Arabidopsis thaliana: one gene and its partners. The protein of the gene in region 3 purifies or fractionates together with the protein of the main gene of each other region. This does not show direct contact. Each region holds a gene or a part of one and is shown on either strand. Other genes may lie near its edges.

What was found.
Region 1: the proteins of SUS2 (region 3) and AT3G18790 purify together in Arabidopsis thaliana (affinity purification with mass spectrometry; 2 studies listed by BioGRID, with this or other methods). This does not show direct contact.
Region 2: the proteins of SUS2 (region 3) and EMB2765 purify together in Arabidopsis thaliana (affinity purification with mass spectrometry; 2 studies listed by BioGRID, with this or other methods). This does not show direct contact.

What each region holds. Positions count from the first base shown.
Region 1 is NC_003074.8:6,475,925-6,479,677, forward strand, and holds AT3G18790 (pre-mRNA-splicing factor ISY1-like protein), read left to right. Parts: upstream 1-1,736; 5' UTR 1,737-1,928; coding exon 1,929-2,831; 3' UTR 2,832-2,835; intron 2,836-3,349; 3' UTR 3,350-3,658; downstream 3,659-3,753. Other genes in the region: ACT2 (actin 2), read left to right, coding at 1-64, 143-756, 843-908.
Region 2 is NC_003071.7:16,208,700-16,212,452, reverse strand, and holds the start of EMB2765 (P-loop containing nucleoside triphosphate hydrolases superfamily protein), read left to right. Parts: upstream 1-2,024; 5' UTR 2,025-2,199; coding exon 2,200-2,616; intron 2,617-2,695; coding exon 2,696-2,785; intron 2,786-2,986; coding exon 2,987-3,049; intron 3,050-3,294; coding exon 3,295-3,381; intron 3,382-3,470; coding exon 3,471-3,623; intron 3,624-3,715; coding exon 3,716-3,753. Other genes in the region: AT2G38780 (cytochrome C oxidase subunit), read right to left, coding at 88-240, 608-942, 1,151-1,601.
Region 3 is NC_003070.9:30,115,817-30,119,569, forward strand, and holds the start of SUS2 (Pre-mRNA-processing-splicing factor), read left to right. Parts: upstream 1-2,030; 5' UTR 2,031-2,235; coding exon 2,236-2,519; intron 2,520-2,654; coding exon 2,655-2,778; intron 2,779-2,851; coding exon 2,852-2,944; intron 2,945-3,035; coding exon 3,036-3,426; intron 3,427-3,511; coding exon 3,512-3,753. Other genes in the region: AT1G80060 (Ubiquitin-like superfamily protein), read right to left, coding at 486-738, 813-895, 989-1,088, 1,167-1,266, 1,513-1,708. UniProt on the Arabidopsis thaliana protein: Functions as a scaffold that mediates the ordered assembly of spliceosomal proteins and snRNAs. Required for the assembly of the U4/U6-U5 tri-snRNP complex. Required for embryo development.

The DNA of each region.
Region 1 (3,753 bases), on a different chromosome or scaffold from region 3:
TCTCCCGCTATGTATGTCGCCATCCAAGCTGTTCTCTCCTTGTACGCCAGTGGTCGTACAACCGGTTAGTACATTTTAGGCTTTTTGTTTATACTCATTGATCATTATTTGAACTGAGCTCTGATTATCTTCCATTGAACAGGTATTGTGCTGGATTCTGGTGATGGTGTGTCTCACACTGTGCCAATCTACGAGGGTTTCTCTCTTCCTCATGCCATCCTCCGTCTTGACCTTGCTGGACGTGACCTTACTGATTACCTCATGAAGATCCTTACAGAGAGAGGTTACATGTTCACCACAACAGCAGAGCGGGAAATTGTAAGAGACATCAAGGAGAAGCTCTCCTTTGTTGCTGTTGACTACGAGCAGGAGATGGAAACCTCAAAGACCAGCTCTTCCATCGAGAAGAACTATGAATTACCCGATGGGCAAGTCATCACGATTGGTGCTGAGAGATTCAGATGCCCAGAAGTCTTGTTCCAGCCCTCGTTTGTGGGAATGGAAGCTGCTGGAATCCACGAGACAACCTATAACTCAATCATGAAGTGTGATGTGGATATCAGGAAGGATCTGTACGGTAACATTGTGCTCAGTGGTGGAACCACTATGTTCTCAGGTATCGCTGACCGTATGAGCAAAGAAATCACAGCACTTGCACCAAGCAGCATGAAGATTAAGGTCGTTGCACCACCTGAAAGGAAGTACAGTGTCTGGATCGGTGGTTCCATTCTTGCTTCCCTCAGCACATTCCAGCAGGTAAAAATTGATCAGATTTTGTTTCGAATTCTCTTACATGCAAATTGAAATCAAAGGCTGATTATTTATGTATATGTTGGTTACAGATGTGGATCTCCAAGGCCGAGTATGATGAGGCAGGTCCAGGAATCGTTCACAGAAAATGTTTCTAAGCTCTCAAGATCAAAGGCTTAAAAAGCTGGGGTTTTATGAATGGGATCAAAGTTTCTTTTTTTCTTTTATATTTGCTTCTCCATTTGTTTGTTTCATTTCCCTTTTTGTTTTCGTTTCTATGATGCACTTGTGTGTGACAAACTCTCTGGGTTTTTACTTACGTCTGCGTTTCAAAAAAAAAAACCGCTTTCGTTTTGCGTTTTAGTCCCATTGTTTTGTAGCTCTGAGTGATCGAATTGATGCCTCTTTATTCCTTTTGTTCCCTATAATTTCTTTCAAAACTCAGAAGAAAAACCTTGAAACTCTTTGCAATGTTAATATAAGTATTGTATAAGATTTTTATTGATTTGGTTATTAGTCTTACTTTTGCTACCTCCATCTTCACTTGGAACTGATATTCTGAATAGTTAAAGCGTTACATGTCTTCCATTCACAAATGAACTTAAACTAGCACAAAGTCAGATATTTTAAGATCGCACCATTTTATATAACCCCAATCGTCAATTCTACTGTTTCAAGTTTTACACCAAAACAATTACGAGGTGTATCTATTCGTTACTCTTTTCGCTTATTAATCCTTTTACATGATGCAAAATATAACAAATTAATTTCAAATTGTCCTGCACATTTGGTTTATACATCTTGATTCCAAAAAGTCAACTCGTTGAAGAATTAATCAATACTCGAAACGAGTCTTCCTTGGGCCCTAAAATATTGTCCTATCTAGTTGATGCTTATATAGCATATATGGGCTAATAAATTGGGCCTTAGCTTTGGAAAAGGACGTAGAACTTGAAACAATTTTTATTTTTCTTTTTCCGGCGAAACAATTATCTAATTACCAATTTAACCCCAATCCTTTCTCAGTTTCTCTCTTCCGCGTCTCTCCTTCTCGTTATCCTGCAAATTAGGGTTTAAGTAAGAAAAAAAAGCTAGAGAAGTATCTCGATCTCTTCTTCTGTTAGATTCTGCTTTCCTTTGAGATTTGCTAGTGTAATCGTAACCTCCGAAGACCCAAGATGGCTCGTAATGAAGAGAAAGCACAGTCGATGCTCAACAGATTCATCACCCAGAAAGAATCTGAGAAGAAGAAGCCAAAAGAGCGTCGACCTTACCTCGCATCAGAATGTAGAGATCTAGCTGAAGCAGACAAATGGAGACAGCAAATTTTGAGAGAGATCGGTAGCAAAGTAGCTGAGATTCAGAACGAAGGATTAGGAGAGCACAGACTTCGAGATCTAAACGATGAGATTAACAAGCTTCTCAGGGAGAGATATCATTGGGAGCGGCGAATCGTTGAGCTAGGTGGTCACAATTACTCGAAACATTCGGCGAAGATGACGGATCTAGAAGGTAACATAATCGATGTACCTAACCCTAGTGGTCGTGGTCCTGGTTATCGTTACTTCGGAGCTGCTAAGAAACTTCCTGGTGTTAGAGAGCTTTTTGAGAAGCCTCCTGAGCTGAGGAAGCGTAAAACTAGGTATGATATATATAAAAGGATTGATGCTAGCTATTATGGGTATAGAGATGATGAAGATGGTATTTTGGAGAAGTTGGAGAGGAAATCTGAAGGAGGGATGAGGAAAAGATCGGTGGAGGAGTGGCGGAGATTAGATGAGGTTAGGAAGGAAGCTAGGAAAGGTGCTAGTGAGGTTGTGAGTGTTGGAGCTGCAGCTGCTGCGGCGAGGGAAGTGTTGTTTGAGGAGGAGGAGGATGTTGTTGAGGAGGAGAGGATGGAGAGGGAGAAAGAGGAGGAGAAAGAGAGGGAATTTGTGGTTCATGTTCCGTTGCCTGATGAGAAGGAGATTGAGAAGATGGTGTTGGAGAAGAAGAAGATGGATCTGCTTAGTAAGTATGCTAGTGAAGATTTGGTTGAGCAGCAGACTGAGGCTAAATCCATGCTCAATATTCATAGATAGAAAGGTGATCATCTCTTCTTGTAAGGCTTTTTAATCATATCATAGTATAATTTTATTGTCTGTAGTTTCTTTTGCAGTTTTTGATCAGAAAATTGACTGAACTGCTGTGTGTTTTAAGAAATTTCGATTAGAGGAATTCTAAAAATTTGTTGATGTTTCTTATATTATTACATCCTAGATTATGATCTTAGAGAATTTGCTAGATCTTGATTTATATTTCCTTAGTAGTCCTGGTCTGTTTGAGAGTATGATAAGGCTTCTGTCGAGTAATGTCATAAAGCGCGATCAATCTATAACAACAACGTACATTCTTGCTTCATTAATCAAGAGTTTCACTGACCTGAGTAATTGACCTAGTACCCTTGTATGTGGAGCTTAGATTTGCAGAAACTGTTATTTCAATGGGACATACTTTAGTTAGTGCCTTAGTGGCATGCATTAGGATGCGAAGGAATTCGTATTATATCTTCTCTTGAATTGAATCTGAGAGGCTGATACATCATCTCTATGCTTCTCAGATGCTCTGTTTTACCAACAAACTCAGCCGCGATGGTCTCTTGCCTAAAGAAGAAACGATGTTGGGCGTTTGAAATATGATTTCATGGAAACAAATGTGAAAGACTCAAGGAGAAGATACAATGTCACTTGGAACTGAACTAGTGTATTCTATTATGTAGCTCGACTTTTGTATCTTTATACTTCTGAATGTAATGCTCATTGCCTGAGGTTTATACATTGTTCCTTTGGCTCTAACTAGATTGGTGCTATGCAGAGACATAAGTTGAGACCAACCACAAGCATTTTTCTGGTTTTGATTTTACTCCCAGTAAAATATTTATTGAGTACGGACAAAACATCAAAAATCAGAACAAGACCGTTGAGATGGATAATACTTGTCTAGAGATACGAACCACACCCACAT
Region 2 (3,753 bases), on a different chromosome or scaffold from region 3:
ATTGTTTTGCAATATTACTTCAAAATTAACTTCAGCATCAGGTCTGCCCTCAGAAAAGTTGTAAGAACAAAAATGTATTTGGAGTACCTTCTCACACTCAAGTTTGAGTTTGGGATCAATGTTCAGTCCGAGTGATTCCTTGTAGGCTATGAGCAATTTTTTTGTCTTTTCTTCTCTCACAATCCTCTCTTCAGCGGTCTCAACTGAATCCCCCGGTCGGAGTGTCCTTCCACCACCAAACTTAAACAAGAAAAGTATATATCTCAATCCTCATTACTTGAGACCATAGATGCCAGCAGGAAAATATACACTCCAAAACCATCGAAGTTAAGAGCTGATGGTTATAGCCAACAATCCAAAATGTGGAAAATACAACCAACAAATCATTTTTGATGCATCATATTTCACAGTAGACTAAATGGTATGCGAACTAAATAATAAACCCATGAAACCTTTCTGGCACTCCTACCTCTAATAATCTGGAGTAAGTGGCTCTATATACCCTAACTTAACAACATTGGACATGCAACTTCTTCCCTCTTGGGGGTTTATGAAAAAAACTAATCCAGTTGCATAACACATATCTTTAGATGGGCCAGTCACATACCGTCTTAGAGATGTTGCTAGGTCTTGGGAAAACTCCCCATGTAGAAACTTTGGGTTTATACACATCAGAGTTTCCATCTCCTTCTTGCTCAACCTCCTTTACTTTCTCCGCAAATCTTGTTTTATCACCAACAATAAACTCCACCTCAGGTAAGTCTCCTTCAGGAAGATAGTCAACAACAGGAACAAGTCCCGCTGGAAGCCCCCTCGTGCTCTTCTTATCAGCAAAGCCAAGCCCCATGAAATCAATGCTGGAGACTTTCAATTCTTTCTTCTTAACATCATTATCTTCAACAACCTTATTTGCTAATCTAACGAAACTTTGATCTGTATTACCTGAAACCCATGAGAACAATTCTCCATTAATACAGCTAAAAATCAAGGCTTTACTCCTAAATCTAATCAAAAACCAATCTTTTCAAGGAACAGGCCACGAAAAACACATGAATGATGTACTAAAGACTATTAGAAAAGTGCATTGATCTACAAACTCAAGCAAAGACAGTTACAAGAATTTTGTGCAAAAGATGATTTTTTACTGAACTGGGTTTAGCTTTTGCGACAGCATCAGTTCCAAGTCCTTTCCTTTTCTTATAATCATTGGCTTTTTGCATAGCAGCCTTAACAGAGAGCGGCAATTCCTCGTCGCCGGCATTTTTCTCTGGTTTTTTTTGCTCTGATTTCGATTTCTTATAAGCTTCGGCTTTCTTCAATGCGAGCTTCACCGGATCCACATCGAGCTCAACCTCTGACGAGCGGTCCGGTGAGGACGAGTTGCTCCGAGTTCGGAAAAGTGAGAGTTTCAAGGATTTTGGGTGTTGAGATGGAGAAAAAAAGAAAGCGGGAGTTTCGGTGAGTGGAGAAGAGAGCCAAGAGTGGTTGAAAGAAGCCATGGTTTGGTGGAGAGAAGAGCTGGTTAGCCATTTTTGGAGTGCAATGTTTTCACAGACTTGTGGACTCGTGGATGCAACATCACCACCCATCCATTTCATCATTGGTCTTGGTCACTAGAGCGCATAAACAGTTCGTTTTATTCGGTTTATATTCGGTTTAGATTGATCAATTATGATTCGAATTCGTTTATTTTGGCTCAGTTCAATTTTTTTTTATGCACACTCATATTTAAGTTGTTTTATTTTAAATCAAAATACTAATTTAAAAGAATGTAAAGTTTTATGTTATCCGATTGCATAAATTTGGTTTTAGTTTGGTTTATTTGGTACAAATTACTGTTTAATGTTTTTTAATCATAAGAAATTCAGTTTTGGTTCGATTCGGTTTACTTGGCTTTTGCTCACCATTATTTATTTATATTAATTTTACTCTTAAGATTATTTCTAGTTCCAGTCCAGACTAAAATACTTCTAGCCCAATATCGGCCCAAGTCCAGCTGTAATTAAACTAGCATCACTCGGGTCGGGTCGAGTCGGTCGTAACCGCCTTTTATCTTTGACGTCGTCGATGAAACTCTCACCTCCGCTTAAGCCCTAAAAATCTTACTCTTCTTCACTCTAAATCCCTTCTCTGAACCTCTTCGTTTGCTGTATGTGTTGATTTCACTTCTCTCTGAGCAAGAAGCTTTCGCGTGAGAGAATGACGAAGGTCTATGGAACTGGCACGTACGACTTCAAGCGCCACAGAGTGGCGGAGTATCCATTGGAGTTACCTAGCCATCCTGCTGAGAAGCCTCTAGAGTCAAAGCCTGGATCTAATTTGCCGAGCTCCATCACTTTATCGGAGATTCAGCAAGATAGGTTAACGAAAATCGCTGAGGAGAGCTGGATTAAGACTGGAGGTAAGCTCCCTGAGAAACCGTTCGATCCGGAGGTTGTGAAGGAGATTTATGTGACGGAGCTTAAGGTAACTAGTGGTCGTAAACCTGTTCCACTTCAGCGAGTTATGATTCTGGAAGTGAGTCAGTATTTGGAGAACTATCTATGGCCGAATTTTGATCCTGAGACTGCTACGTTCGAGCATGTTATGTCTATGATTCTTATGATTAACGAGAAGGTAACTAATCTTGCTCTCTTTCGTATTGGACTGTTGGAGCTGTAAACAGTGGAGTTTAACATTGCTACATGCTTTGTAGTTCCGGGAGAATGTGGCAGCTTGGATTTGCTTTCATGATCGGGATGATCTATTCAAAAAGTTTCTACAGAAGGTTCTTCGCCTTAAAGAGGTTTGTATTCTACCTGTTGTTTTAGTTTTTGTGATTCTAGTGTTGTTCCTGTTTGTGATAATTTGGTTTGTACCTGTGATTTATAACATTGTCTTATGCCTGGAATTGACTTCGCTATATATTTGGAGGCATAGTGATAAATCATAATTAGCCATTGCTAAACCAATCGTATATTTATATATCATTTGCTTACCATTGTAGGGAAGAGACTTGACTATTGCTGAGAAGACAAACTATTTGGTCTTCATGATTAATGCTTTCCAGGTTTGTTCCGTTTCTTGCATGTAACTTTTGAATAGGTCGTAAGTATTTAGAATGCTGTTGCGCCTGTTTCAGATCAGAAAATTAATACATGATATAGTAAGCAGTAATTGCAGACAATATAGCTGTGTGCTACTCAGTAAATTGTTTGTTTCACGTGGAAAACCTTATTATTCATGTTTGTACACAAATTATATCCTTGTGCTATTTTGTTTTTCTTCAATATTCTTAACTGTGTGATGTTACAGAGTTTGGAAGACGCAGTGGTTAATGAGATTGTTCTAAGTCTAGCAGGATTACAATCTTGGCACAGCTTGTCTTATGGACGTTTCCAGGTGGGTGTTTCCTTCACATGGATTTTGTTAAGGATGGTGAAAATATTTTGTAGTTGCTCTGATATCGTCATTGATTTTTACAACTGTAGATGGAGCTCTGCCTTCAACCTGATCTAATTAAAAAGTGGAAGAGGTCATCAAAGAAATGGGCAGCTGAGGCAAAGTCAAAGGGAGAGAAATTTGATTTATCCTCATCCCCTGAAGCAAATTTTGTTCGAGGCCTAATAGAAGAATTCGTTGAGGTATATAGCCTGTTTTTATTGGGTTGTAGTGGTCTATGTTCGTCAAATATATCTTTCGCATAGTTACGCATAATTCATAACATTCTGTTCAGGTGCTTGATCATGGGGTTTTTGCGGATGAGGTTGATGA
Region 3 (3,753 bases):
AACTTTATACACACAGACAAATATGACAACGATAGACAGTTTTTACTTTTTAATAAAACAGAGGCAAGAAGATGAGCATATGCTAGTGGTGGGGCGTGTCATTCTTAGATTCTCGGGTGGAACATAGGTTTGACCAGCAAAATGGTGAGGCCAATTATTGGGCTCAGTAGGTTGGTATGGGTTTAACCATTTTCAGCCTATATAAGGTTTACCTTGCCATATTACTTCAAAATTATTCAAAATCAACACAAATACTCAATCCATTCTTGTTTTATCACAAATCAGATGATCTTACTACTGTGTTCTAGGCTGAATTTATGCGAATAAAAATGTACCTTCCTTCAGCTTTCACAATGCATGAAGATAGATATGAAATTTGTAAAACTATGGATCTTTTGATACAATCCTGGACAACAAATTCATAAACCAATAATCATTGGAAGAGATTAAAAAGGGGACATAGGAAGAGGTTGTGACTTACGGATTTACATCTTGGGTCTGCCACCGAAATGCTTCAAAGAAAATCTGGAGGGACCACTGCGACACTCGGGTCCTTTTCTGGAAACTCCCCAACGTCCAGCATATGGCAACCATCCTTTAATTAAGTTAACTAGTCTGGATTCTGCTGCCGGTAACTCGTCTTGTGCTCCTGGATAACACTTCTCAGCTACATCATCCACACCGTTCTGGTTTTGGTTTTGTATTTGGATTTCGTTGACAATGGATGACACATCCAACCTACCATACAAGGATTCTTTAGCAGAGCATTGAAATGCAGAGACGATATAGGAAGATTGTTACAAAGTACTTACTCGAGGTACCGCTTGCAACTCGGGCTCTTGGATCTTTTGTTCATAGGAGAGTGGTCTATCGACAAATGCCTTACGAAATGTAACTGAAATAGAGTGAAAGGGATGTTAAGACTTTCAAAGGAATGAGATTGCGTGCATACGATTCTTATATAGAAGTGAGAAGGAGTTTAACGAACTTGGTCTCCATCATTGAGACCGAGATAACGGATGCTAGTCTTGTCATTGACTAATCTCTGGTCTCGATAACACAAGCAAAAATGACCCCAGACGTGAGACCTGTAGGCAAAGATCAAAGTGAACGACTGTACCAGAAAGCTTAAGCTGTGAGAATTTTCATATGAAATGATGATATACCATGAAATCATGCCGTGACCTTCCAGAGGAGAAATGGTGAATACTTGTTCCACAGCTCTTTTGAGCTCTGCCACTGAGCAATCCTTTGCAACTTCCACATCTATTGATTCGTTGGAAACCATTTAACTTCTTGAGAGGCCAAATCAGAAACAGTAACCAAAAAACTAGTTGATACTTCATCCAAAATTATGTCTATTAAGGCTCTTAAACAATGATTTCTAACAGCAACAAAAAATTCCGGATTAGAGATCGATTAGGGTATCACCAACTGAGGGAACCGTTGAGCTTGATTGTAAACTAAACTCTTAAAATTGCTATTTCGGAAACTGGATAAGCAAAATCGTACCGAAAAGGGAGCCGTTGAGCTTAACGACGGAAAGCTTGATACGACCCTGAGGAGGAAGTTTCAGGTAGGAAGATCTCCGTCCAGAAATCGAACCACCGTCGTTTAAAGCAAACGATGACAAGAAGCGTGGATCTATCAACGACCTCAGTCCTCCACTTCGACGACCGTCCCTAACCGGACTATGCTCTTCTCGCATTGCCGATTCTCCCGGATTTTCACCGACAAGATTCTGCTCTCTTTGCTCTTCTTCTTCAGCCTTCAGGTGACTGTTGAGGAGCTGAGCGAGCGAGCGAGAGAATCGGGAGAGTTTGTTTTCCGGGGAAAAACCGCAATTACTGCTATATAGCTCCCCAATAAATGCCAAAACAAAAAATCAAATTAAAGTTTGTCAATGGGCATCACGGCCCAAATCTAATAATCAAAGGCCCAATAACTTGATTCGACAATACTTAGCGGGTTTGGATAACCGCCTAAGCATCTGTTCGACACCGCCTATTTTTTTTTTTTACTTACTCCTCCTGATCTGCTGATATAAGGCCGAACGGGAATAAAAAAAAAAAAAAAGGAAGAAGCGACTCACCCGAAAATGTTTTAGGGTTTTTCTTTACTCGATTAAGCTCACTAGTTCTTCGCAACGTAGTTAGAGATCGACACTGGCGCGGTGGATTTAGGGTTTTTTTCCTCCGCGACTACGCTCGGCGTTTCGATTTGGAACCCTAAGCTATGTGGAACAACAACGATGGTATGCCCTTAGCTCCTCCTGGTACTGGCGGGTCCATGATGCCGCCACCTCCCGCTGCTCATCCTTCTTACACGGCGCTTCCGCCGCCTTCTAATCCGACTCCTCCGGTCGAGCCTACTCCTGAGGAAGCGGAGGCTAAGCTTGAGGAGAAGGCCCGAAAATGGATGCAGCTAAATTCCAAACGGTACGGCGACAAGAGGAAGTTTGGATTCGTTGAAACTCAGAAGGAGGACATGCCACCTGAGCACGTCAGGAAGATCATCAGGCTAGTTTTCTTCTCTTCTTTCTCTACCATTTCGAAATACAGTTTACTTGATAATTATTTTCTGGCTAGGTTTCTAAGATTTGGTTAGGATTTACTTATTTTGAGACTGAAGCTGCGATTTCTTTCTTACTTCAGAGATCATGGTGATATGTCATCCAAGAAATTCCGTCACGACAAACGTGTATACCTTGGAGCCCTTAAATTCGTCCCTCACGCAGTTTTCAAGCTCTTGGAGAACATGCCTATGCCCTGGGAGCAGGTACATTTTTTTTCCTTTAGCTTCAGCTGTTTTCATCGTCTGTTCATTTATCTAAATCCTCATTTTCTTTCAGGTCCGAGATGTAAAAGTTTTGTACCACATCACCGGAGCTATTACATTTGTGAACGAGATACCATGGGTTGTGGAACCTATTTACATGGCTCAGGTTGGTGATTAGTCTTATCTCTTATTTACTGTCTCTGTGCGCTGATGGATTTTCAATAGCTTTTGATGGTTATTCCATTCTTGTTTTGCAGTGGGGTACTATGTGGATTATGATGCGAAGGGAGAAGAGGGATCGTCGTCATTTCAAGAGAATGCGGTTCCCACCTTTTGATGATGAGGAGCCTCCACTAGACTATGCAGACAACTTGCTGGACGTGGATCCTCTGGAGCCAATTCAATTGGAGCTAGATGAGGAAGAAGATTCTGCTGTCCACACTTGGTTTTACGACCACAAGCCACTCGTTAAAACAAAACTGATTAATGGTCCCAGTTACCGGAGGTGGAACCTCTCACTTCCAATCATGGCAACCCTTCACAGGCTTGCAGGCCAGTTGCTGTCTGATTTGATTGATCGCAACTACTTCTACTTATTTGACATGCCATCTTTCTTCACAGCAAAAGCTCTGAACATGTGCATACCTGGTACGCCATTTTCCTTCTATGCTCCAGTTTTTATATTTTTGCTGCGGGTCCATTGCTTTTAATGCATTCTCCTACTCTTTTCCAGGTGGACCCAAGTTTGAACCTTTGTACCGTGATATGGAGAAAGGGGATGAGGACTGGAATGAGTTTAATGACATCAACAAGCTCATTATTCGTTCCCCTCTGCGTACTGAGTACAGAATAGCTTTTCCCCATCTCTACAATAATCGGCCCAGGAAAGTAAAACTCTGTGTGTATCACAGTCCTATGATCATGTATATAAAGACCGAGGATCCCGATCTTCCTGCATTTTATTATGATCCGTTG